Rhinolophus ferrumequinum: one gene and its partner. The protein of the gene in region 1 interacts with the protein of each later gene in a biochemical or structural test. Links are inferred from orthologs where the notes say so. Each region holds a gene or a part of one and is shown on either strand. Other genes may lie near its edges. The genes, in order: CHAF1B and ASF1B.

What was found.
Region 2: the proteins of CHAF1B (region 1) and ASF1B form a complex in vitro, tested with the Homo sapiens proteins (2 studies listed by BioGRID and IntAct). The link is inferred for Rhinolophus ferrumequinum from reciprocal best matches to the Homo sapiens genes CHAF1B and ASF1B.

The regions. Positions count from the first base shown.
Region 1 is NC_046285.1:101,720,723-101,731,598, reverse strand, and holds the start of CHAF1B (chromatin assembly factor 1 subunit B), read right to left. Parts: upstream 4,680-10,876; 5' UTR 4,615-4,679; intron 3,785-4,614; 5' UTR 3,722-3,784; coding exon 3,596-3,721; intron 3,145-3,595; coding exon 3,012-3,144; intron 387-3,011; coding exon 269-386; intron 1-268. UniProt on the Homo sapiens protein: Acts as a component of the histone chaperone complex chromatin assembly factor 1 (CAF-1), which assembles histone octamers onto DNA during replication and repair.
Region 2 is NC_046301.1:47,876,885-47,888,878, reverse strand, and holds the start of ASF1B (histone chaperone ASF1B), read right to left. Parts: upstream 5,262-11,994; 5' UTR 4,952-5,261; coding exon 4,843-4,951; intron 1-4,842. UniProt on the Homo sapiens protein: Histone chaperone that facilitates histone deposition and histone exchange and removal during nucleosome assembly and disassembly. Cooperates with chromatin assembly factor 1 (CAF-1) to promote replication-dependent chromatin assembly.

The DNA of each region.
Region 1 (10,876 bases):
AATTTCCATTGGGAACTGTATTCGCTATAGCTACACTCCACTACCTTCAAGGATAGTTGTAGCTTTAAAACAGACTCAATTTTACTAAGGGAAATTGTACAGCAGAAACTAAGAAAATCCATTTTAATCATGCTTTTCTCTTTTAAAGCTCTTCTCTCTTATTTCTTTCTTGCATAAGTCAAAGTTTCAAGCAAGATCTGGAAGTCAGAGTGCGTTTCAGGCAGAGGCACTGAGGGCAGGACCACGCCCACAGCCCCCCCCAGGGTACCTCAGGGTTTTCACCACCGTCCAGTTCTCCTTATTCAGCTGAGCCTCATCCTCATCCTGAAAAGCAACCTGCTCGGGCTCCTTGTTATCATTCACCTTCCACAACAGAATGACAGCATCTGTGGAGTGAGTCAAGTCAAGGTGAGCGGTGCTTCTGAAGGCATATCATCGCCTCCACAGCTAAGGCACTGGCAAACAGACCAGCTGGCAGGGAGGAGCTGGGCCTCCTCACGATGCCCACCTGACCTGTCAAGGACAGGCACTAGGTAGCTGATAATTTGTAGCTGTGACTTCTCTGGGGCGGGAATGGAAGCGGGGTGGGGGTGCCAGGCCCCAGCTTTGTTCCCTGGTCCCCTGTAGCCTGCAGAAGTGTTCAGTGAAGGGAAAGGCGGGAGTGGATACAAGTGGGGAGCTCTAAAACGACAATTAAAGAAAAAGAAGCCATGCTCTATTATAGCACACCCCTTCACGTCTGGAGTTTTAGGGCATTAAGTAATATTTATGTTGTTCAATAGACACGATGGCCACAAGGATTGACTTCTCAGAATGCAGACAAGAAAAACAGGTTTGCCTATAGAACTAAAACTCCAAAATCAAACTTATGCCAGATCAGAGCTATACAAAGTCACCTGAAACAGAAGGGTCCCAAGGCCAGCAAAACACCACTGCAAAGCGACTGACTACATTAACAAATCTAAAGGCATAACCTATAAATGACTGAATAGGAAAAAAAAACAACAGCAAAGAGCCACCAACACAAGAGTTGGCAGATCGTTCCTAGCTGCGTACTTTTAGCAAGTCACTTAATGCCTCAGTTTCCTCACCTGTAAAATGGGGATAACAGGATACCTACCTCAGAAGGCTATTTGAGGATTAAATGAGTACATATGCATAAAGCACTCACAACACAATGCCTGGCACATGGAGAGCCCATAGATGTGTCAGCTATTGAGATCACGGACACATCAGATACCTTAGCTTGATGTCATCAATTGTCTGAGTCCTCTGACTCCCACGTTCTGTTCTGACTCCACACTCACCACAAAACCTGACCGTGCCCTGGCTTCCCTTTGAGGAACGCCTGCAGGAGGAGAGTGAATGAAATGGTTGGCTATGTGGACACCTGCGGTCTCATTTTAAATTAACTGGAAGCCTGGGAGTTTGGCTGAGAGAAGACTGGCCCCACAGATGGACGCTCTCCACATGCTGACTAACAACAGCAGGTTTCTGAGCCAAAGGACTTTGTATAACGAGTGCTGGCGAGACCTTTCTGATCTCGCCGGAGCCAGCCCACTGGCCTCCCCAGGTGGTGTTCCCCACTCACCACCTCTCCCCTCCCAGGACATCATGGCACTGAATCTAATAACCAGGTCTCTTTTCCTCCTGTAAACAAAATCTGAGATTTTTGTTTTATTTTGTACTGACTTCTAGAATGTTCTATTGTTAAAGCATGGTAAAAAGATTTACTTTTTCTGTATAGTCTGAAGAGTGAAGATAGAGAATATATAAAATGGAGTCCCTTTAACCAAGGTGTTAAAATTATTAACGTTATGAAGGTTGAGGCATGAGGAAGGACTATTCTTGTTGTACCTAGCCTAGAAACTCAAACTTTTTTAACTTTCCAGTCCTGTCAATGCCTGGATATTCATCTGAATATACACCAGACCTCCAGATAACTTTCTGATCGCCCACTAAAGGACTCATATATCCAGGCCACCATACATCCAGTATCCAGACTGCCAGGCATGACCAAACCTCATGGTGCACATCCTCTAGCCCACCTGACATCCATCAGCCAGACTGCCAGACACCTGAGTGACAACCGTCCTGGACCAATCCTAGGCCTGAGAAGGCAGGACTGAGAATTCTCAAGAATGTACTTTTGGGGCGGCAGGGTGGCTCAGTTGGTTAGAGCGCGAGCTCTCAACAAGGTTGCCGTTTTGATTCCTGCATGGGATGGTGGGCTGCGCCTCCTGCAACTAAAGATTGAAAATGGCGCCGGGACTTGGAGCTGAGCTGCGCCCTCCACAACTAGACTGAAGGACAACGACTTGACTTGGAGTTGATGGGCCCTGGAGAAACACACTGTTCCCCAATAAAAATTAAAAAAAAAAAAAACCCTAACCCATTTTAAAAAAAAAGAATGTACATTTGACTTCTCTTTCCATTTTGGAACACTCCTGGGATTTTGCCTAGCTTTGTTCCCAGTGTGCCAACTCTAAGACCCTTGAATAAAGCTCTATCATTTATTTGTAGCCAAAGCCTCCAGACTCTTTCTGAGTTTGCTCAACAAGTTTTATGCCATTTAAGTAAAAGCAGAAAGTAGGAATCAATCTACTTCTCCCAAACAATTTACAGGGCCATTTGGACAATAGTCCCTAAGCCAATTAATTGTACGGAAACATGGAAGAGACTGTGACCACTTACATATACTAAACTAACAATCAAGCCCAGATAGAACAGTTGCCTTGGGACTCTGACAGAATGGTAAACACCTTCCTACTTGCCTGCAAACCAGCCCAGTGGGAAAGGGGCCATTTTCAAATAGGTCTTCTCAGCTTAAGCTTGTTGTCCTCCACCCATGCCTGCTCCCCAGAACATTATTTCACTAACCTATTTCAATAATAGATTGAGAACGTCAAGCAACCTCTAAAATAAAAAAGCCATCTAAGCTCAAATCTCACTATTTAACACGTGACACCTGGGTATGTGTTTTCTAAAGAGTTTTGAAGTGCAATACTCACCATCTCCTCCCGATGCTAAAATTTCCCCACTTGGAGAAAAACGCACGACATTGACAACTTTGGTATGGCGAGCAAGATTGGACAAAAATTCAACAATGGCCTTTCCATCTGGTCCTTTTTCTACCTTCCAGATCTGTTGGTACCAAAACATTCATTCAGAGAAACACAGAGTGAGCACCTACCATAAGATGCATACTAAAACAGTACTACGCTTACTTTCAGGGTGGAAACTTAGTTTTTCTTTTGCAACATAAAATGAAGAAACTTCTTTCTGAAACAAACCCATGGTCCCACTGCCTGTAGTCTTCCCTCCTATCTCTTTCTAGCGCAGACTCTTCCCCAATAGGAATCTGGCTCAGGATTTTAAAATAATGGGCGTCCAGTTATGTCAATCTAAGAAATATTACCCAAGGAAGAAATCTGCTTTCTTTTGCTTTCATTGTTCACTCAAGACCCGGAGAACCTATCCCTCTGGACTAGATGAGGAAGTAGTTTGAGTTGCATAACATCAGTTTTACATAAAAGATTGGAGAATGCTGCTTCACTGGTGCTTCTCTGTGCCTTTCTATCTCTGCCAGATTTACCCTAACAGTGGTGTCCACCCCTGCGGACGCCAGTTTGTGGATCCTCCCGGCCGCGCCATGCTGGAAGTCCAGGCTGTACACAGGTTCCTTGTTGTGCCAGGCTATTTCACAAGTGATGACTTTCATCCTCCTGAGTCTTGAAGGGGCAACAATATTCCTCGCACACCGTTCTATTTCCAGACAGGAAAGCTGAAAATCGTTGGAAATGGATATAGCAGGAAAGGACAAAGATTTGTGTACCTGTGTTGATACACCTTGAATCCCCCAGGTGTATTCAACATTTATTATGAACCAGGAATCCTGCTAAAACATTAAAACGGTAAGCTGTACTGGGAAAGGATGTTAATGTTGACCTGTGACGTAACACCTTGCGAGTTCTACCTCGCCTGTTAAATCTGTTCTGCTGCTACCGAAAAGCAAAAAGGAACCCTCAGGCAGAGAAGTTAAAGGGGCTGGGGCTGGCTGCGCAACCGCCCCCCCCCTTAGTGGGGATTGGCGAGCGCGCCTGGAGAACCAGGGGCCGGGTCCTCCAGGGGAGGGGGCTGTGCGGAGGGGGACGCAGTAGTAGGGTGCGACCCGGAGGAGGAGACCCGGGCCGCTGGACACCCACACTTCCCAGGAGCCCGGACGCCCGTGGGAGGGAGCTGTTCGGGGGAGGGGCCCCAGAGGGACAGGGCGGCCAAGGGGGAGGTGGGGGCTGCCGGGTAAAGGGTCCGCAGAGGGAGGGAGCCGCGGCCGCGGGGGGAACCCCACTTCCCACAGTCGGGGCCTCCCAGGGCAGAGGACCCGCCCTTCCCAGGCCTCGCGGGACAGGGCGGTCTGCCGGGGAAGCCAAGAGCGGGTTTAGCTGGGAGACCACGCGGGGCAGGGGCCTTGGCGGGAACTGGCCGCCTAAACGCGCGCCGCTCTGGAGCTATCCCGGGCCCCTGCAGCCTGCCCTCGGCGAGAGTCTCTCGCTCCCGCCCCGCCCGGACCGGAGACCCAAGGGGACAAGCAAGCCAGATCCGCAGAAAACATACCTGCAGGGACGCGTCCAATTCAGCAGCGCCTTGGCGCGCGCGGTTTCCCGCGCGCCGCAGGCCGCGCCCCCGAGTGGGCGGGGCTTCAGGACGCCCCGCCTGCCCGCCCTAGCACACTGGGTTGGTCCAGCCGGGGCTGAGTCGTTCCATTGGGGCTAGTTCCTGCCGGCTCACTAATTCCCCGCTGGACCCAGGCACCGGAGAAACAATGGGGGTAGTTCATTCACTCGTTAGTTCCATAACTTCTTCCTTGTAGATTCAGTCTTTTAGCAAAATTTACTCATCATTTGCTATATGCTGGACCTTGTGCGGTCGCCGGATACACAATGGATCGCGAAGCTGACTTAGACTTACCCTCAGGGAATTTACAGTCCGGTAGAAGGAAGGGAAGAGTCGTCCTGTAGGACAGGTGGGAAGGCTGTAACTCTGAGATCCTCCCAAGACTACCAAATCTCTTACTGGTGCAGCAAATATTAGGTTGGTGCAAAAGTAATTGCGGTTTTTGCAATTTTTTTTTTTTTAACCTTTTAAACAGCAATTACTTTTATACCAACCTAATGTTTGAGAGCTGTAACCTGTATCAGGCCGTCTTGGTCTCTAGAATTCCAAACATCAATAAAACACAGAGACTGTCTGTAGTCAGGTACACACGTATAATAAAAAGTGAAAAGCAGCGTGAAAGGAACGATATGCTCTTACAGTTCTGAGGACGATTTTATTTTGGATTTGAAGGCTCAAAGGAAGTTTGAAGAGAAGGGGGCGTTTAAAGGGGGTTTCAGGTGCTGGAGTTTGGGATGAGCAGCTCTGGGAAATGGGGATTCAAGCTAAAGAAATTCAGTGGACAACAGAGGCACAAAGTGGGAGCAGTGAGCCCTGCAAAGGGAAAGGATGGGTGGGGCAATGACCCAGAAGCCTCTGGACGTGAATGAGCAGGTCAAATGGACACGTGCGTTTCAAAGGCAATTTTAATTCTCATTCTAAATTAATTGGAATCCTGATTGCATACATTAGTCTGGGAGCTTGGTGGACATGAGGTTGGCCCTGACAGATGGACACTCTCCCTGTGGGGACTAACAGGTTTCTGGGCCTTCAAAGCCAGGGGACTTTGCAAAACCCCCTGCAACCTGCAGAAGAAAGCCTTCCACATGTGACTCGCCCTCTCCCCACCTTTCCCCTCTTTTCTCTCTGGATTATCATGGCACTGAAATCAACCAGGTCTCCTTCTCCCTTTGCAAACAAAAAGTGAGGTTTCTTTTTTATATATTGGCTTCTAGAACACTGGAGAGTTCAAAGCTATGGGATTGTTCAGTAACTGGATTGCTTACATTATACCCCAATTAGCATATGTGGTTATAAACACTTTTTAAAAACTGAATTTAACATTTTAAAGGGAGAAATTGATGCAGCAAGCCTTTTGAAATGGGATAATTTTCCAAATGGGTCAGCTTGCCAGTGAGCTTCCTTGAGTCAGGAAACAAATACCTTGAGAAGCATAGTCTTTACTTGATAAAAGGAAGATACAGGTTCATCTGAGAAGCCAACTCTTCCTGGCATTTTTAGGGAAAAGAATTGACATGGATTCTTCTTACATAGGTGCTGGTTGAAGCTTTGAGCCAGTTTTATGATATAGAAATAGTCTACAAAATGGATGTCTCATGTTGACAAGAATGAGGCTCCTGAAGTTTTGTTTCTACAGGAAGCTCGGGATAACATAATCCAGATATGTAGCTTTTAGATGTTCTTGCTTAAATCATGACTAGGATTTACAGAGCTTGGACTGGGAACGACTAGTATGTACTACAAATAATCTGGCTGTTTTAAAAGTAGATTCCTGGCCCTATCTGGGCCCACTGATTCAGACTACCCAACAGGGAGATCCAGGGGTCTGCCTCTTCACAAGCTCCCAGGAGAGTCTGATCATCAGTCTGATTTAGAAAGCCCGGGATTCAATGTCTCTTATAACTCTCAGGTTTCTCCAAATTTCTGAGCAATGCTATCGATTCACAAATGAATCCTCTGACAATCTCCTGAGGTGCCAGGATTCTAGACTGGATTAAAAAGATAAGACACATGCTTAGGTACTAAATATACATGAAGGAGTTTGCTTTCTTGTTGAAAATTTTTGCAACCTGACGTCAATTCCTGCTTTGTGGGCCATCACATGCAGAAGCTGGTGGCCTAGAGTGGGGCCCTGGGCTGTGCTAAAAGTTTTCTCAAAAAAGAAAAGTAAAAGAATTTGGTTGAGACCTCAGAGCTTTGCCCTGGACTGGATGAAAGAAGTTCTACAGCATCAACAACCACTCACCTCCAGTTTGGGCCAGAGTACTGATTTTAGCAGAATTACATGACTCTAAGTGGGCCAGTGTTATTTGGTCTCCCAAGAACTTTATAGTGAAAATGAACATAAAGGGAATAAATCTTACCTTGGCTTTAAAAACCAAATAACAAAGACTTCTCTGAACCCACTTCTCTACAATTTCCTTTTCTAAATGTGACAACTCTGGAATAAAAATATGAAGTCAGTTAGTCCCCATAAAACATTATTAAAGAATGGCAAATAGGAGTGCACAAAAATACTTAACAGCAGGAAGTTCAATACTGGGTTGGGAAAAGATGTTGAGCAAATTTTATCACAACAAAAGACAGGAAAAATAGGATACAAAGTTAGAAATCAGCACAGAATGCACAAGACCTCTGGCACACTGCTGATGAGTGTAAAATGATACAAATTACTACAGACACAATGTTCTTGTCCCTCCAAAATTCCTATTTTCAATCCCGTGCAATGTTAGAGGTGGGGGCCTAGGGAGGTAGTTGCATGAGGTCACGGGGGTGAAGACCCCATCATGCTATTGGTGCCCCGATAAGGGGATTAAGAGACTAGACGGACTCTCCCCACTCCCTTTCCTTTGGTATGCCGCGACAGACAGTGAAAAGAGACATCTACAAACCAGGAAGAGTGCCTCAGATACTGCATCTGTGGGTGCCTTGATCTTGGATTTCCTAGCCCCCAAAGCTGTGAGAAATGTGTTTGTTATTTAAGCCACCTAGTCTAGGGTATTTTTCTTATAGCAGCCTAAGCTAAGACAAATACTTCAGGCAACTGTTCAGCAGTTTCTAGTAAAGTCAAAGATATCTATCCTACGATCCAGCAATTCCACTTTTTAGTATATATGTAAAAAAAATGAAAGCAGACTTGCACGAGAATGTTTATAGCAGCTTTATTCATAAACCAAAATTGGAAAGACACTAAATACCCATCAACAGAAGAAAAGATAACCAAACTGTGAAATATTCATACAGTGGAATTCTATTGTGATCAAAAAGAAATGCTGACACATGCAACACCATGGATGAAGCAGCATTATGATGGAATAAAAGGAATTATTTCAAGTGATTGACAAGCACAGAAATGTGGTATCTCAAAGAAAGCTTGAACTTCTTCAGTATCCTATGACAAGGATATTGGTATTGTTACATATGTATATGAGTGCATGTGTTTATATCTGGGAAAAGCAAATAATTGTGGTTAGGAAAACAAATTAAGCCTCTAAATTGGCAATACTGGCATATATTCAATATATATTTTCTCTTTTAGAAAAATGAAGGATTTCCTAGCTCAGTCCACTCAAGGCCTAGAAGAAATGCCCAAACAAGCAAAGAATGTAGGTATCTGTGCCTAGATTATGGTCTCTGAATAACATTCTCCATGAAAAGAACCACAGCTCCTTGGAGGAATGGCTGTTTCCCAGTCTAGAACAGAAAATGTATCAGATGAGCCTCAAACACCTCATTATACCAGAAAGCAAGAAAATCAAAGACTACTAGGATTATATACTAAAGACAGGAGCCAATTTGAAGAGATCTCCAGCCAAAGCGAGACAATTTAACGTTGGAAAATTGCCACAATGGATTGAGACACAGTAAATGTTGAAATACACAAGTTTCTATTAGCAATAGCAACACCACCAAAAACTGTTGGCTGTATTTGGAAGGTATTTGGGAAACAAGCCAGGAGTCAAACATTTATTCTGCCTATTCTATATGAACTGTACCTTAGGATAACTAAATAGGTTTGCTTTATAGATTTCCCACCAGCTCAAAAAAAAAAAAAAAAAAAGAGTATCACCATTTCACAACTCATAATAAAATAATGGATCTAGGTGTGATTATTAATGGATGCTAAAATCCTTAGGTAATAGACTGATAGGGAACTTTATAATAAATAGACTGGGTTGACACCATCTAAACTGATTAATCTTAATAAAAGGAGACAAATGTACATTATGTACCTCTTAGTGTGATGCAATAGGAAGAACAAAGTAACACCTAAGAAAAAGAAAAAAGAACTTGAATCTGATTAACAATGTCGATCTAACTACCACTTTATAGGAAATACGAGATATTTTTTAAAAATTCAATGATATCAAAATGAGGGAAATGCTGAAAGAAAAATGTTGATTTCTTCAATGACTAAAAAAAGGAAGGACCTACAGATTTAAAGAAACCTGAGAGATATAGCAAAGAAATGTAATGTGTGGATTCTGTTTGGATCCCAAGTTAAACAAAAGCAGCTGGAAAAATAATTAAGAAGTGACCAAAGAAATTTGAACACTGACTAGATATACTAAAGAATTATCAATAGTTGAGATATAATAACAGTATTATTTTTGTGCTTTAAAATTCTCATAAAATCTAAAATGAAAACTTTAAATCTGATTATTTGAGATAATTTCATGTTTAGAGATATTTTTTGTTTAGAATTTACTTCAAAATGGGAGGGGCAATAGAGAATAGAAAACACAACAAAACCAAAAGTTGGTTTTGTGCAAAGATCAACAAAACAGACACCTTTAGCTAGAATGAGGGGAAGAAAACGAATACTCAAATTACTAGAATCAGAAAAGAAAGCAGGGACATTATTATTGATGTTATGGAAATAAAGATTATGGAAATGAAAATAGAATACTATGAACAAGTGTACGCGTATGTACCCAAAAGAAAGGACTCAGTTACACAACAATGTTCATAGCAGCATAACTTTTAATAGCAAAAAATTGAAACCAACCCAGACGTCCGTGGATGGATGAATGGATAAACAAATTGTGGTCTATACATACAATGGAATATTTTTCAGCCTTAAAAAGGAATTTAATCGAGATAGGCAATAACATGAACCTTACAAACTTCACACAGTGACATAAGCCAGATACAAAAGGACAAATATTTTGTTTCCACTTATATAAAGTATCTAGAATAAGCAAATTCAAAGACAGAACCTAGAGGTTACTACAGGCTGGAGGTAGAGGGGAATGAAGTATTGTTTAGTGGATACAGTTTGGGATGTCGAAAGTTCTGGAAATGGTGGTGGTTGCACAACATGAATGTACTCAATGCCACTGATTCATACACTTAAAAATGGTTGAATGGTGTCAAACCTGTACAGTGTAAAACACCAGAGTGAACCCTACTGTCATCTACGGACTTGGGGTGATGATGTGTCAGTGCAGGTTCTTCAATGCGGATGTTGAGAAAGGGGGAGGCTGTGCATGTGGTAGTGGGGGGGCAGAGGGTCTATGGGAAATTTCTGTACTTTCTGCTCAATTGTTCTGTGAGTCTAGAATTATTCTAAGAAGGAAAAACCTATTTAAAAAAGAAAAAGAGTTAAATGGTAAATTTTGTTATGTGCATTTTTTCACAATAAAAATTGTATTATTTGTCACACACACACACAAAGGATATGGGAGGGAATAATTAAATGGGATGTATTGATAAAACAAGGTTGACCATGAGTTGAAAATTGTTGAATCAGGGTGATGGGCGCACAGTTCATTATGATAGTTTCTCTACTTTTGTATGTTTGAAAATTCCAATAGTTTAAAATAGCTGATACTGAAGAAAGTCAATTTAAAAACAATAAATTAGTGGGAAATGAGAAACCCTTAAGAGTGATTACAGCGAATAATACTTTTATAGTTCACATAATTGTATTAAGTCATCTATGACATATGTCCTAGACCCGTCTTTCTCTACCCAGGAAAAGAGGTAACAGATGGTTATGGCAGTGTCACTTCTCTCGCTGGCATCTCATTAGACAACTCACACTCCTGGAACTCTGTGGCTCTCACAGCTAGTTTCCATTCTGCAGCCTATGGACACCTCTCCCCCAGACCTGACCCACCTCACGTCACACAGCAAAGTAGGAACAATGCTCTACGGTATCTCCATGCCTCCACGAACACATTTTGAGATACTCCACCCA
Region 2 (11,994 bases), on another chromosome or scaffold:
AGACCCACGTGACAGAGGCGTGCTGAGGGAACAGAAAGGAGTTGGGTCATTTCAGGGCCCTGCTCACTGGATGCTGGGATAGGAAGCAGCATCCTCTTTCACACACAGGGATCTGTGCCACTGAATTGAGTAGATCCCTCGACAACTGGGACAGGGCGGCAGATTCCAATCCAGCAGGAGAGCCAGCCGTCAGAAGGAAGAGAAGACTGCTGGGGGAGCCAGCCTGTCCCCAAGAATTCCAGATTCGGCACCAAGTAATGTCTGTTCATGGCTATTGGGGCGATGGTGACTTAGTCAACAAATGTGGCCCCACAAGGTGATCCTCTGAACACCAACTCTCTTGCATCCCATTCAGTAGGGGGATTCCATTGCTGAGTACGTTCGGGGGAGATGCAAGGAAAAGTGCTTAAGGAGACCCTGCCTATCAATCACAGGAAATTCCCAGGGACCGCTGCCTCTTGCAGGAGGTCCAAGTGTATCAGGGGCAAGGTCACTCTAGTACAGGGAAGCTTGGCAGGAGACCTGAAACTTATTTTAGGTTCTCTGAAATTACACAACCTACTGCTCCAGCAGCTGGGGGAAGTTTCACAAGCTGTGATTTTCACAGGAAGCAAATGCTCTTGGAAGCTGCCCTGTTCCTTGGTCCACTGTCCTGCAAGTGCATCCACATTCGGAAGCACACTGATACCCGGCCATGACTAGAGGTTAGTCACCTGAGCCCCAAGCTCTTCCTCGATACACTGGCTTCCTGTCCCTTTGCAGTTTTGCCCAGAGCTACTCAGGGACCCTAGCAGGTCTGTGGGGTATGGTGACCCCCGGGGCTCACTGAGGTTCAGTCAAACTCTAGTCTCATTGTTTGCAGAGAGGATTAAATTTATAGATTTATTTTTGTTATAAGTAGTGATACACCTAGACATAACATGTTTTGGGACAAACAAAACCAGCTAACTCTGTTCTCACCTTTCTCACACAGCTCTAGATTTTGGTACCTTTCCTTCTGGCCACTCCCCCATCACCAGTGCAATCACATATGTGTACATTTAACTAATGTGCTAGAGGATGGGGAGATAAAAAGGAGACTGAAATAGAGCAGGCTAGGGGCAAGCCACAGGCACCTGATGTTCAATATTGTTAGCAAAACCTAAACAAAGACTGAGTGGGTGCTGACCGGAAGAGAAAACACTGCGTGGGCAGCCAGGCAAGTAAGTGGGCCACAATGGCTCCCTCAATAGGAAAGACACCAGAGAATTAACAGAGGACCAGAGAAATATTGACTCAAGAGTTGCAGGAGCTGATAAAATCACCTACGGAAGGCAAAAGGACCTACAAATTGGAATCATCTTCAAGTTGAAGTGTTTTAAGCTGAAGCATAAAGTGACTTCATTTTTTAATAGAACTCTTCTTTAGAATTAGAAATGGGGGGTGGCCGGTTTGCTCAGTTGGTTAGAGCGTGGTGCTGGTAGCACCAAAGTTGCTGGTTCATTCCCTGCATGGGCCACTGTGAGCTGCCCCCTCCTTAAAAAAGAATTAGAGGGCGGCCGGATGGCCCAGTTGGTTAGAGCACAAGCTCTCAACAACAAGGTTGCCTGTTCAATTCCCACATGGGATGGTGGGCTGTGCCCCCTGCAACTAAAGACTGAAAACGGCGACTGGACTTGGAGCTGAGCTGCGCCCTCCACAACTAGATTGAAGGACAACTTGGAGCTGATGAGCCCTGGAGAAAGACACTGTTCCCCAATATAAAAAAAAATTTAAAAAATTAGAAATGGGACATCAGTCACCAATACAGCATAAACTCATTCTATTGAATACAGGACAATTATATACATGTAACATGTGTACCTAACAACTGGGCAATTTCAAGGGAATTCAACTGCATTACATTTTGTTTTTATGCCCTAACCTTACGATCTAACCACTGCACAAGATGCTCCTCCACTATGAATGGAAACAAAACCAAAACCAATGCCATAAAAGACCTGTAAAATATTATTGTAGTTGAACTAGCAGAAGAAGCTGTTTCCTGCCTCTTTTTTAAAAAACTTATCTAATAGGCCTTTTTCTGTTTATCACTGTCTTTGTAATCATACAGATGAACCTTGGCCTGACCAGAGTGTTAGCTGTGGGTCAGAATATCTGGCCCCATGACTTATTCAAGCAATGTCTGTTGAACTTCTCAGGTAAATGGGGGAAAACATATGTATGTTAAATGTGGACCCATGTTTTGGAAGCATCTATTTCCAGATGCTCAGGAGAAAGAGAGCAAAAAGACCTTGGAGCCCTTGGGAAACAAGGTCAGCTGATTGACTGGGGGTTTGGGTGTCTTGTCAGATCTTCAATTGCCAGTGTCGAGATGATAAGATTAAGATTTCTCCAGGATCTGAGAGACTTCTAAAGTCAGGCCCACTCATCTTTTTGGGAGACAGGCAGGAAACTAATTCTTTCTGCTCCATGGGAAGAGGGCCAGGAAGAAGTAGAAAGCAAACTGGCAGGTCAGAGTCACAGAGAGCCCTAAGAAGAACAGAGTCTGGATTTCCAGGCTAGAGTTTGCTTTGCAACTCGAGTTTCTCTGAGCAAAATCTTTATTGTCTGGGTGTAATTAATAACAGGACACCCTTTGCTCTCTTGTGAGAGTGTCCTGATGTGGAAATAAATTCTACGATCAGTTCTATTTATGTTCCACTTCTAAAATAGAGGATGCATTCTTTCTTTCCCAGGTTATAGCAGAGATAAAAGAACCCTGGACTAAGAACTCAGAGAAAAGCCCTAGTATCAATAATTCTGCCAACCAGCTATGTGACCATGGAGTAGTCATTCTGTTTCTATTAAAAAATAGTGACCAGCAGGTTGATTTTGGATCTTTCCTACTCTGATTCTAAAAACAAGTTAGTAAAATAACAGAGCAGGGGCTTCATAGGAATAAAAGTATTAGAAAATGACCACATAACCATTTTAAAATGCAAGGAGCACAAGCAGGCTGATTGAAACCTGATCTCCTGCCATGTGGGAACTGTGAATCCCTTAATCTATTAGCTCCTTACATCTCCTCCTGGCTTTAAAATTAAATCTTATTCCAGTGTGACATTCTACACTTTATTTATTTATTTACACCCTGCCTTGTTCCAGAAAGGATTTAACTGTACTTATTCTATAGTTAGCCACAAGTAGACTCTGTAATTTAAAAAGGAGAAAAACCAGGGAGACTGAGCCCAAGCACATGAATCTCAAACTGTACCAACCCCAAACTAATCCCAGGGGCCGGCTTTGCAGGCAAACCACCCACCTACCATCAAGAGGCGCTAGTTAGTACACCCTGGCCTCACAGACCACCTCCTCAGCTGTTGCCTCTTTTCTTTAACCCAGTGAAGTGGTCTAATGGAGTACAGGCATACCTCAAAGACACTGTGGTTTGGTTTCAGACCACCGCAATAAATTGAGTAGTAATCTTTTTGCTGGTGGAAGGTCTTGCCTTTAATTTGTAAAAAATGCAACATCTGTGAAGTGTAATAAAACAAGGTATGCTTGTGCTTGTACTTCCTCTTGAAAGTGGTGCTAACACTTCCTGGGCGACCTTAGATTTTTGGATTTTTACAGATCTTTCCTTGCGAGGTCTGTCACTCTTTGTGGCTCCTGTCTTCTCATCTGTGAGATGAGAGCCATGTCCACCTTTATGTCACACAGATGAATAAGTACATCAGTGAAACCTTGGAAAAGATGCCCCAAAGGTTGTGATCCCCCAGCTGATTGCTTGAAGTTGGGTACCATCATGGCTCAGCCGGGCCCACATACCCTCCAGACTAGGTCAGACCATCAGAAGTGCCGGAGGAACTATGGCAGTAGGTCAAGCCGAAACCTGGCAGGCAAACAGTGGGAACTGGCTAATGCCTGGCTAGATCATCCTTCAGATTTGAGTGTGTTCATCGAAGTACACAGTCAGGGAGGAGGTAGGAACTGGAGCTGGGGAAACCAAGTTATCCTCAAAGACTGGAGCTAGAAGCCAGGCTATGCCTCCTCAGGTGGAGCTCAAGAATAAAGGGTTGGGGCCAGGCTAAGGAGAAGGGAAGCCAGGTTCTAGGTTACGTACTTTGGGGTAGAAAACAAGAAGTGAATGGGGTTGGTTAAATATCAGCAGGTTCTGGAGGGGATTATTGGGAGACAATGGGGAGATGGGGGTGAGTGAGGTCTTGCCACAGGAGAGGGTCTTCACAGGGAAAAAGGGTCACAGGAGGGGCTCCACTGGGAGGAAAAGGAGGGAACTTGAGGGAGAGGCCGCCACAAGGAAACTGGGGGAGGGGACTGAGGTTTCCATAAGGGAAATGGGAGGCTAGGGTTTCCGTATAAATAAAAAATGGGAGGCTGGAGGTTGGAGTCTCCATAGGAAAAAAGTGAGGCAGGAGTGTCTCACCACAGAGAGGAGGGGATGGGTGGGGGAAGACTGAGTGGGTGGAATAAAATAGAATTTTCTACACAGAAATAGGTGGGGGGTTTCTTGCTACAGGGAAGATGGGGAGGCTGAGGGTGTCCGCAAGTTAAAGAATGGCGGCGGATAAGGTCTCTACATAGAAAGCCCAGGAGCTCCACAGGAAGAAAAGGGAGCGAGGGAATGATGAGGTCTCCACGGGGGGAAACCGGAGTAACTGGGTAAGGGGGTCGGGTTGGCCGTGAGGTGGGGGTGGGAGGAAGTCTCCACGCGGAGATTGGGGCTGGCGGGGAGGGAAGTGGGGAGATCAGGGTTGGGGGTGTATTTCGAGGTCGGTGTTGGCCGCGGGAGCCTCTACGAGGAAGTCGGGTTGGCCAGGGGAACGGGAGAGGGGGGGGGAATCCATACAGGCCCAGCCTCACCGTCCGCCAGGGCCTCATTGCACTCGAAGCTGATCTCGAACCGGAAGGGGCTGTGGAAAGGGCTCGGATTCTCCAGCACGGCCACATTCAGCACCGACACCTTGGCCATCGCCTCGCCAGGCCGCAGTTCAAGCCAGAGCTGGGGCGGAGCCCACGGCTGGGTCCTGTCGGGTCAGCCGGACAGCGATGCTCACAGACTACCGCCTCCTTGGTCTGCCGACTGAACTGCGTATCTCGCCCGCGCGCCTCCTTCAAATAGCCGGCCGCACCCTCCGGCCAATCACCGTCAACGCTCCCCGGCGGCGCAAGCACCCCCTTAACCAATTCTGGAGCGCCGGGCGGCGCGCGCCGAGACTCCCTGGGCCAATCCGCTGAGCTCCCTCTTGGGGCTGCGCGTGGGAGGTGAGACCATCTCGGCTTTTTTGGGTGTCCGCCGGGAACCAATCCCCAGCGTTTCCGACTCGGATATCAAGGGCGGGGTGGGCGGAGCCAGAGCCTGTGTTCCTCTCAGCCAATGCCGAGAGTTCCCGCACCGGCGTGGCCCGCCCTTCGCCTCTCCCTTCCGGGAGACGCTACAATTCCTGAGCAGCGCCGCCAACTGCCGAGCGGTGGCGCGCGGCGCTAGCGTAAGAGGGCGGGAAGGGTGGTGCTCGAGCCAGCGGTGATTGGCAGGTAAGAAAGGAGTAAAGCAGCTTCTGTGAGATGTGATTGGCTGGGTTAGCCTCAGGGGGCGGGAGGAGAGGAAGACTCGGCTGGGGATTCGTGGGAGAGGAGCGGAAATAAGCGGCGGCGCGGTTAAGCGGGGTGTGAAGAGAAAGGAGAAGCGTTTGCTGCTTTGGCGTCTGTCGGCAGGTGATCGTTATCTGGAGCTTCTCTGAGGGCCTCTTGGCCCCTCAGGCCCAGCGGCCGGGGAGTTCGTTGTGAACGTTGTGAACGTTTGACTCACCCCTGAGGGGAGATGGAGCGGTGGTAACGCGGCGCTGGGGCGCGGACCCGGGAGTTGGCCCCAGTTCGAATCCCGCTCTCGTCCCTTCGAGGGCCGCTGGGAGGTGTCAGGTGGACAACGCTATTACTGGGAGTTCGAGTCCGGCCTCAGCCACTTAGCTCACGAGGCCACAGTTTCCCTGCTCATTGAACGAAGCCGTGAAAATTCATTGACATGATTCATGGTACATCTAGAAACTTCTCTCCACCCACATGCCGAGCTGGAGCACCGTTGGTTGCCTGGAAGACTCCAGGCACCTCAACACACACCCTCTCTGCTACCACCCACAACTAGTGGAAAAATAATTCGAGCCACATGCTTAATTTACATTTTTCTAGTAACCACGTTAAAAAAAGTTTTAAAAAATATTAACTTTAATATGTTGCATTTAATCCAGTATAAACAAAATATTATTTCAACAGGTGATGGGTGTAAAAAATACAAATGAGACAGCTTACATTTTTTACTGGGTAGTAAGGCTGCGAAATCCTGGGTGTTTTACACTTATGAGTACAGCTATGTTTTCATTAGAAAGAGTTGGTCTGGCTTTAAGTTTTATAAAACTTAACAGTTGAAAATGTAGATTCACATGTCCAAGCTGTTCCCAACATACTTAAAAGTTTTCCATGAGCTCAATCACATGCAGGTTTTTAAATTGAAATGTTAATTGATTAAAATTGAGTGACATGGAAAGTTCTGTTTCAGGGTGGCACTAGCTATTTTCAGGTGCTCATAGCCCCTGTGGCAAGTGGCTACTGTATTATTATTGGACAGTTCAGGTCTGAAATTGAATCAGTCATCCTCCTGCATATAACGTGAGTGATTTTCTATCGTTCCCAGGAAACTATGCCCCCCCCACACACACCCAATCCTACCCTTCCCTGGCTTCACTTTAATGGTAAATGGAAATTCTAGAAATAAACAATTCATAAGTTCTAAATAGCGCACCATTCTGAGTGTTGTGAAGAAAGATGAAATCTTGTACTAGCCTGTGCTATCGAGGAGGTGAATCATTCCTTTGTCCAGCATATCATAGAGACCCCCACATTCACATAACTTTTATTACAGTATATTGTTATAATTCTATTTTATTATTGTTGTTAATCTCTGACTGTGCCTAATTTATAAATTAAACTTTATCATAGGTATGTATATATAGGAGAATATATAGGCTTTGGTACTATCCAGGGTTTCAGGCATCCACGGAGGGTAGGTCTTGGAATGTGTCCTCCTCTGGTAAGGGGGCACTACTGTATTGTCTTTAAGACTACATGCTTTGTTTCCCACCAGCCCCAGCTTCAGTCTAGCCAAACTGACCCCCTCTTTGTTCCTTAAAAATCTGACATGGCATTCCCTGCGCAGAGTCTCTACCTAGAATCTGTTCTCCCAGTTCTTGGCATGGCTGGTGCCTTCTTGTCATTTACGTCTCTCTGTTCAAATGTCTTGTCAGAAAAGCTTTACCAACAGTCCTCTGGACAGTGTTAAAACTCACAGAGAGTAAGCCTGAATAGACTGGTCCAAGTCACTAGCATTTCTTATCTAGCAACTTCTGTGGCCTCCCTAGAATCTTACAGCCTCATAATGCTAGGTATGTTTTTATAGCTACATCTCAAGTAAAAAAAAAAACAAAAAAAACACAACTTTTTTTTGCATTTAAAAAAATTGAGACCTCTCCCCAAAAACTATTTGGCTACAAGAAAATTCACATTTGTAATGCCTGTGATTTCTTGGCAACCATTGGGCATAGTTGCAAGTTTTTGTGATTCTAGAAAATCTAATTTTCAAATTATTTTCAAATGTAATTCAGTTGCTTATGAATACTAAATTTAATGATGAATAAAGTTGCCATAATGTTACATTTTTCTAGATGTTTAATTAAACAGTTATTCATTCCAACTTTGTAGTTTTCTTTTTACATTGTGGAACTTTGTTTCCCTTTATCCCTAGCCCCAACCTTTTCAGCTGATTAGCTGAAAAGCTAATCAGCCACAAGCATTATGTCTGTGGTGCCAATGAAAAAAATGGCCCTGTCTGTAATGCGTTATGCGTACAGCTGGCTGAATAATCTTCAATTGTAAACCAGATCATGTTATTACCCTACTTAAAACCTTCAAAAGGCTTATCATACTTAAAATGAAACTTAAGATCTTTACTGTGGCTTAGGAGGCTCTGCATGGTGGCCTTAGCTGACCTCTCAGGCCTCATCTACAGTCTCCCTCTTGTCACCACTCTCAAGCCCAACTGGCTTTATTTCCTGTCTTTCAACAAACCAAGCTTATTCCTGCTGTAGGGCTTTGCACTTGCTGTTCCCTCTTTCTGGAATCTGCTTTCTTCAAATAATTGCATGGTTGTCTCATTCAAATCATTTATGGTTCAACTCAAATGTCAAACCTTCCTGGACCACCCTAGTTCAAGTTGCCCTTCCTTAATCACGTCACCCAGTTTTATCTTAGGGGCACTCAGAATCTGTACTTATGTTGGTTTTAAGTTGTGCTTGTTATTTCCCATCATCCCTCAGTAGACTGAAAGGTTAAGGGCAGAGCTCTCACCTGCTTCATGTTGACCTCTCAGTGTATTTCTAGAGGTTGGCACAGGGCCTCGCACATAGAAAGTCTTCAGTAGGTTTTTTAAAAAAGGATAAATCCATATAAAGGGCTTAGCATAGTACCCGGAATGTAAAAAGCACGCAATAAACATGAACTGTTATATATAATAAGCAGGTAAGTCTGTATTCTCCTTATGTAATATTTCAGGTGCACACACTTGAAAAACTCTAAGAAATACTATGACAAAATACACTTTTACTCATTACCCAGCTGAAGAAGTAAAACATTAGTGATGCATTTGAAAGGCCCTTTCTCAAACCTGCTCCTCTCCCGTTTTCCTCCAGTGTTACTGCAACCCTGGATTTGGTGTTTATTTTTCTGTGCATGTTGTGCATCTTTATATGCATGTGTCTTTTATTGTAGTGTGTCATGTTCTACAATTTTATATAAATGATATCTATGCAAAAAAGAGTTAACCTAAGAGGCCTGAGACAGCTATTCTTAGAAAGGCCTATTGGCAAAGCTGGCCTTTGGCTGGTGTCTAGGAACTTGGATTTTAGGAGGGTTCCCAGCAGTCTCTAAATGGTAAGAGTGGCTTATGGTGCTTAAACTATTTGTACAGTGTGGTTTATGTTGAACACCTGCTTTCTTTCTGAAGTCTGGAATTCTGGTATTTGACCAACCCCCAATAAGTACCTTAGCACTGAGCCTCTAATAGGCTTCCCTGGTAGACAACATTTCACACGAGTTGTCACAGCTCTGCTGCAGGAACTAAGCGCGTCACATTTGACACCAGTAGGAGAGGACTCTTGGAAGCTTGTGCCCGGTTTCCTCCAGACTTTAGGCCCCTTGTGCCTTTCCCCTTGGTTGATTTTGCTTTGTACCCTTTTGTTGTAAGAAATCATAGCCATGCATACAGTTATATGCTAAATCCTGCGAGTCTTCCTAGGGAATCATTGAACCTGGGGGTGATCTTGGGGAACCCTGACACAGTATCATACTAGATAGATCCTGACAGGGCTGGAACTAGGGTAAGGCAAGGAAAGCACGTAGGGCACAAAATTTAGGAGGTGCTCACTCTCAGGGTCGCTCAAGTGTCCAATTTGCACTTGTATGACCCTGAGGGTAAGTACCTCCTACAGTTTTCACCCTAGGCACCTAACTTCCTTCACTCTAGACCTGCCCTACCGTCTGAAACTTGCTTTTTTTTGGTCCAACATAATGCTTTTGAGATTTATCCATGTTGACACATGTATATAGCTCTAATTCATTTATTTTCACTGCTGCATAGCTGTGCTATCTGATGTAGCCAGTAGCCACATGTGGTCATTTAGATTTCAATTAATCAAAATTAAATAAAATGAAAAATTCATTTCCCCAATCACATTAGCCATATTTCACATGCTGGATAGGCACCTGTGGCTAATGGCTACTGCATTGGACAGCATGGACAGAGATCACTTCCATGATCACAGAAAATTTTGTTGGACAGTGTTTATGTACCCATTCACCTCTTGGTTAATATTTAGGTTTCCAGCTTTCACCTGTTACAAACAGTGTTGTTGTGTATGTCTCCCTGTGCATACATGCAGGATTTTCTCTAGGATACGAACCTAGGAGATGAATTGCTGGCTTATGGGTTATGGGAGTATTCACCTTTGCTAGATATTGACAGTTTGCTCTTCAAATAGATCATCGTGATTCCCACTCCTACCAGCAGTGTTGCTATTGCTCAGTGTCCTTATCAACACTTCGTATTATCAGACTTTTACGTTTTTGTCCTTCCGATGGGTGTGAATTAGGTTTCAGTTTGCATTACTCTGATTACTAGTGTTGAGCTGTTTTTATATATATATATATATATATATATATATATATTTGGGGAAGGGGAACAGGACTTTATTGGAGAACAGTGTGTACCTCTAGGTTTTCCAAGTCAAGTTGTTGTCCTTTCAATCTTAGTTGTGGAGGGCGCAGCTCAGCTCCAGGTCCAGTTGCCGTTGCTAGTTGCAGGGGGCACAGCCCACCATCCCTTGTGGTAATCAAGGAATCGAACTGGCAGCCTTGGGGTTGAGAGCCCACTGGCCCATGTGGGAATCGAACCAGCAGCCTTCGGAGTTAGGAGCATGGAGCTCTAAACGCCTGAGCCACTGGGGGCCTGCCCATTTTCATACGTTTATTGACCATTTGCCTTCTGTGAATTGCCTTTTCATATCTTTGCCCATTTTCCTGCTGGGTTTTCTTCGTCTTACTAAGTTTAGGAGTTCTTTCTCACATCTGAAGTTTGCCTTTTCATTTTTATGGTGACTTTTGATGTTCAAAATTTATTATTTTAATGTCATCAGAATTACCAATCCATGTATATTTTGTGGTTTTTGACCCTTGTTTAAGAAATCTTATCCTGAGGTCAATAAGATATCTTACTGTGTTTTATCCTGGAAGTTTTACTTTTCATATTCATCTTTAAAAAATAAAATCTACCTGGACTTTATTTTTGTTTATGATGTGAGGTAGGACTGTGATTTAATTTTTCCACGTGATCAACCAGTTGTACCAGACCCATTTGTTGAGTAGTTCAATGGTTCTCAAAATGTGATCTCCTGGGATCCCCAAAACCCTTTTAGGAGATCCAGGAGATAAACCATTGTCATAATAATTTGAAGGAGTTGTTTCCCTTTCTCATTTGTGCTGTGTTGTCATGTGCACTATTGGTATAAAAGCAATGGTGGGTAAAACTGTTGGCATCTTAGCAGGAATCAAGGTAGTGTCACCAAACTAGCAGTAGTTATTATTGTATTCCTCGCCGCCACACACTCCAACATAAAACAAAATACTTTCACTTAAGAATGTCCTTGAAGAAACAGTGAAAAGTATAACACATAACACAATTATGTGTTAAAGCTTAGCCCTGCAACAGATCTTTCTAATATTCTGTGTGGTGAAATGGGAAGTTTTCATAGAGTACTTCTATTGCATGCTGAAGAATGATGGTAATTGATAATACAATTGTTTGAGTTGAGGTGAAACTGGTGACTTTTTTTTCATGTAACACCATTTATACTTGAAAGACAGACTGGTTACTCAGATTAGGGTATTCAGCAGATATTTTCTCAGAAATGAATGGAGTAAGCTAGTCACTGTGAGAACAACTGACCGTTGCTGCCAATGATAAAATCTGAGCTTTCAAGCAAAACTTAGACGTTTGGGAAACTTTTATTCACCACCATGAATCTGGCCATTTTTTAATATTTAAAAGCTTTTTTGATGATATCAGTGGTGATATTAACAAATATGACTAAAAATATTGTGTAGTGAAATGTAATAACTTAGTAGGTCAGTATTTTCCCAAAGACCGATGCATGATGTTACAAAATCATGCTTAGGGAAAAGATCAATTAAAATTGTAAGATAAGACTAATGGGTTTCAATGTAACAGAGTAAGAAAAGTTCATTGATGCAGTTTCATATTCCATATTGTAACTAACTTTATACACCCACCACCACTTGTTGAGTTTTGGTGTAGTAACAAAGTAGAATATTCCTATTAGCTGAAAAGGCTATAATACTCTCCTTCCTTTTCCAACTATGTATCTTTGTGAGGCTGGATTTTCTTCATATACT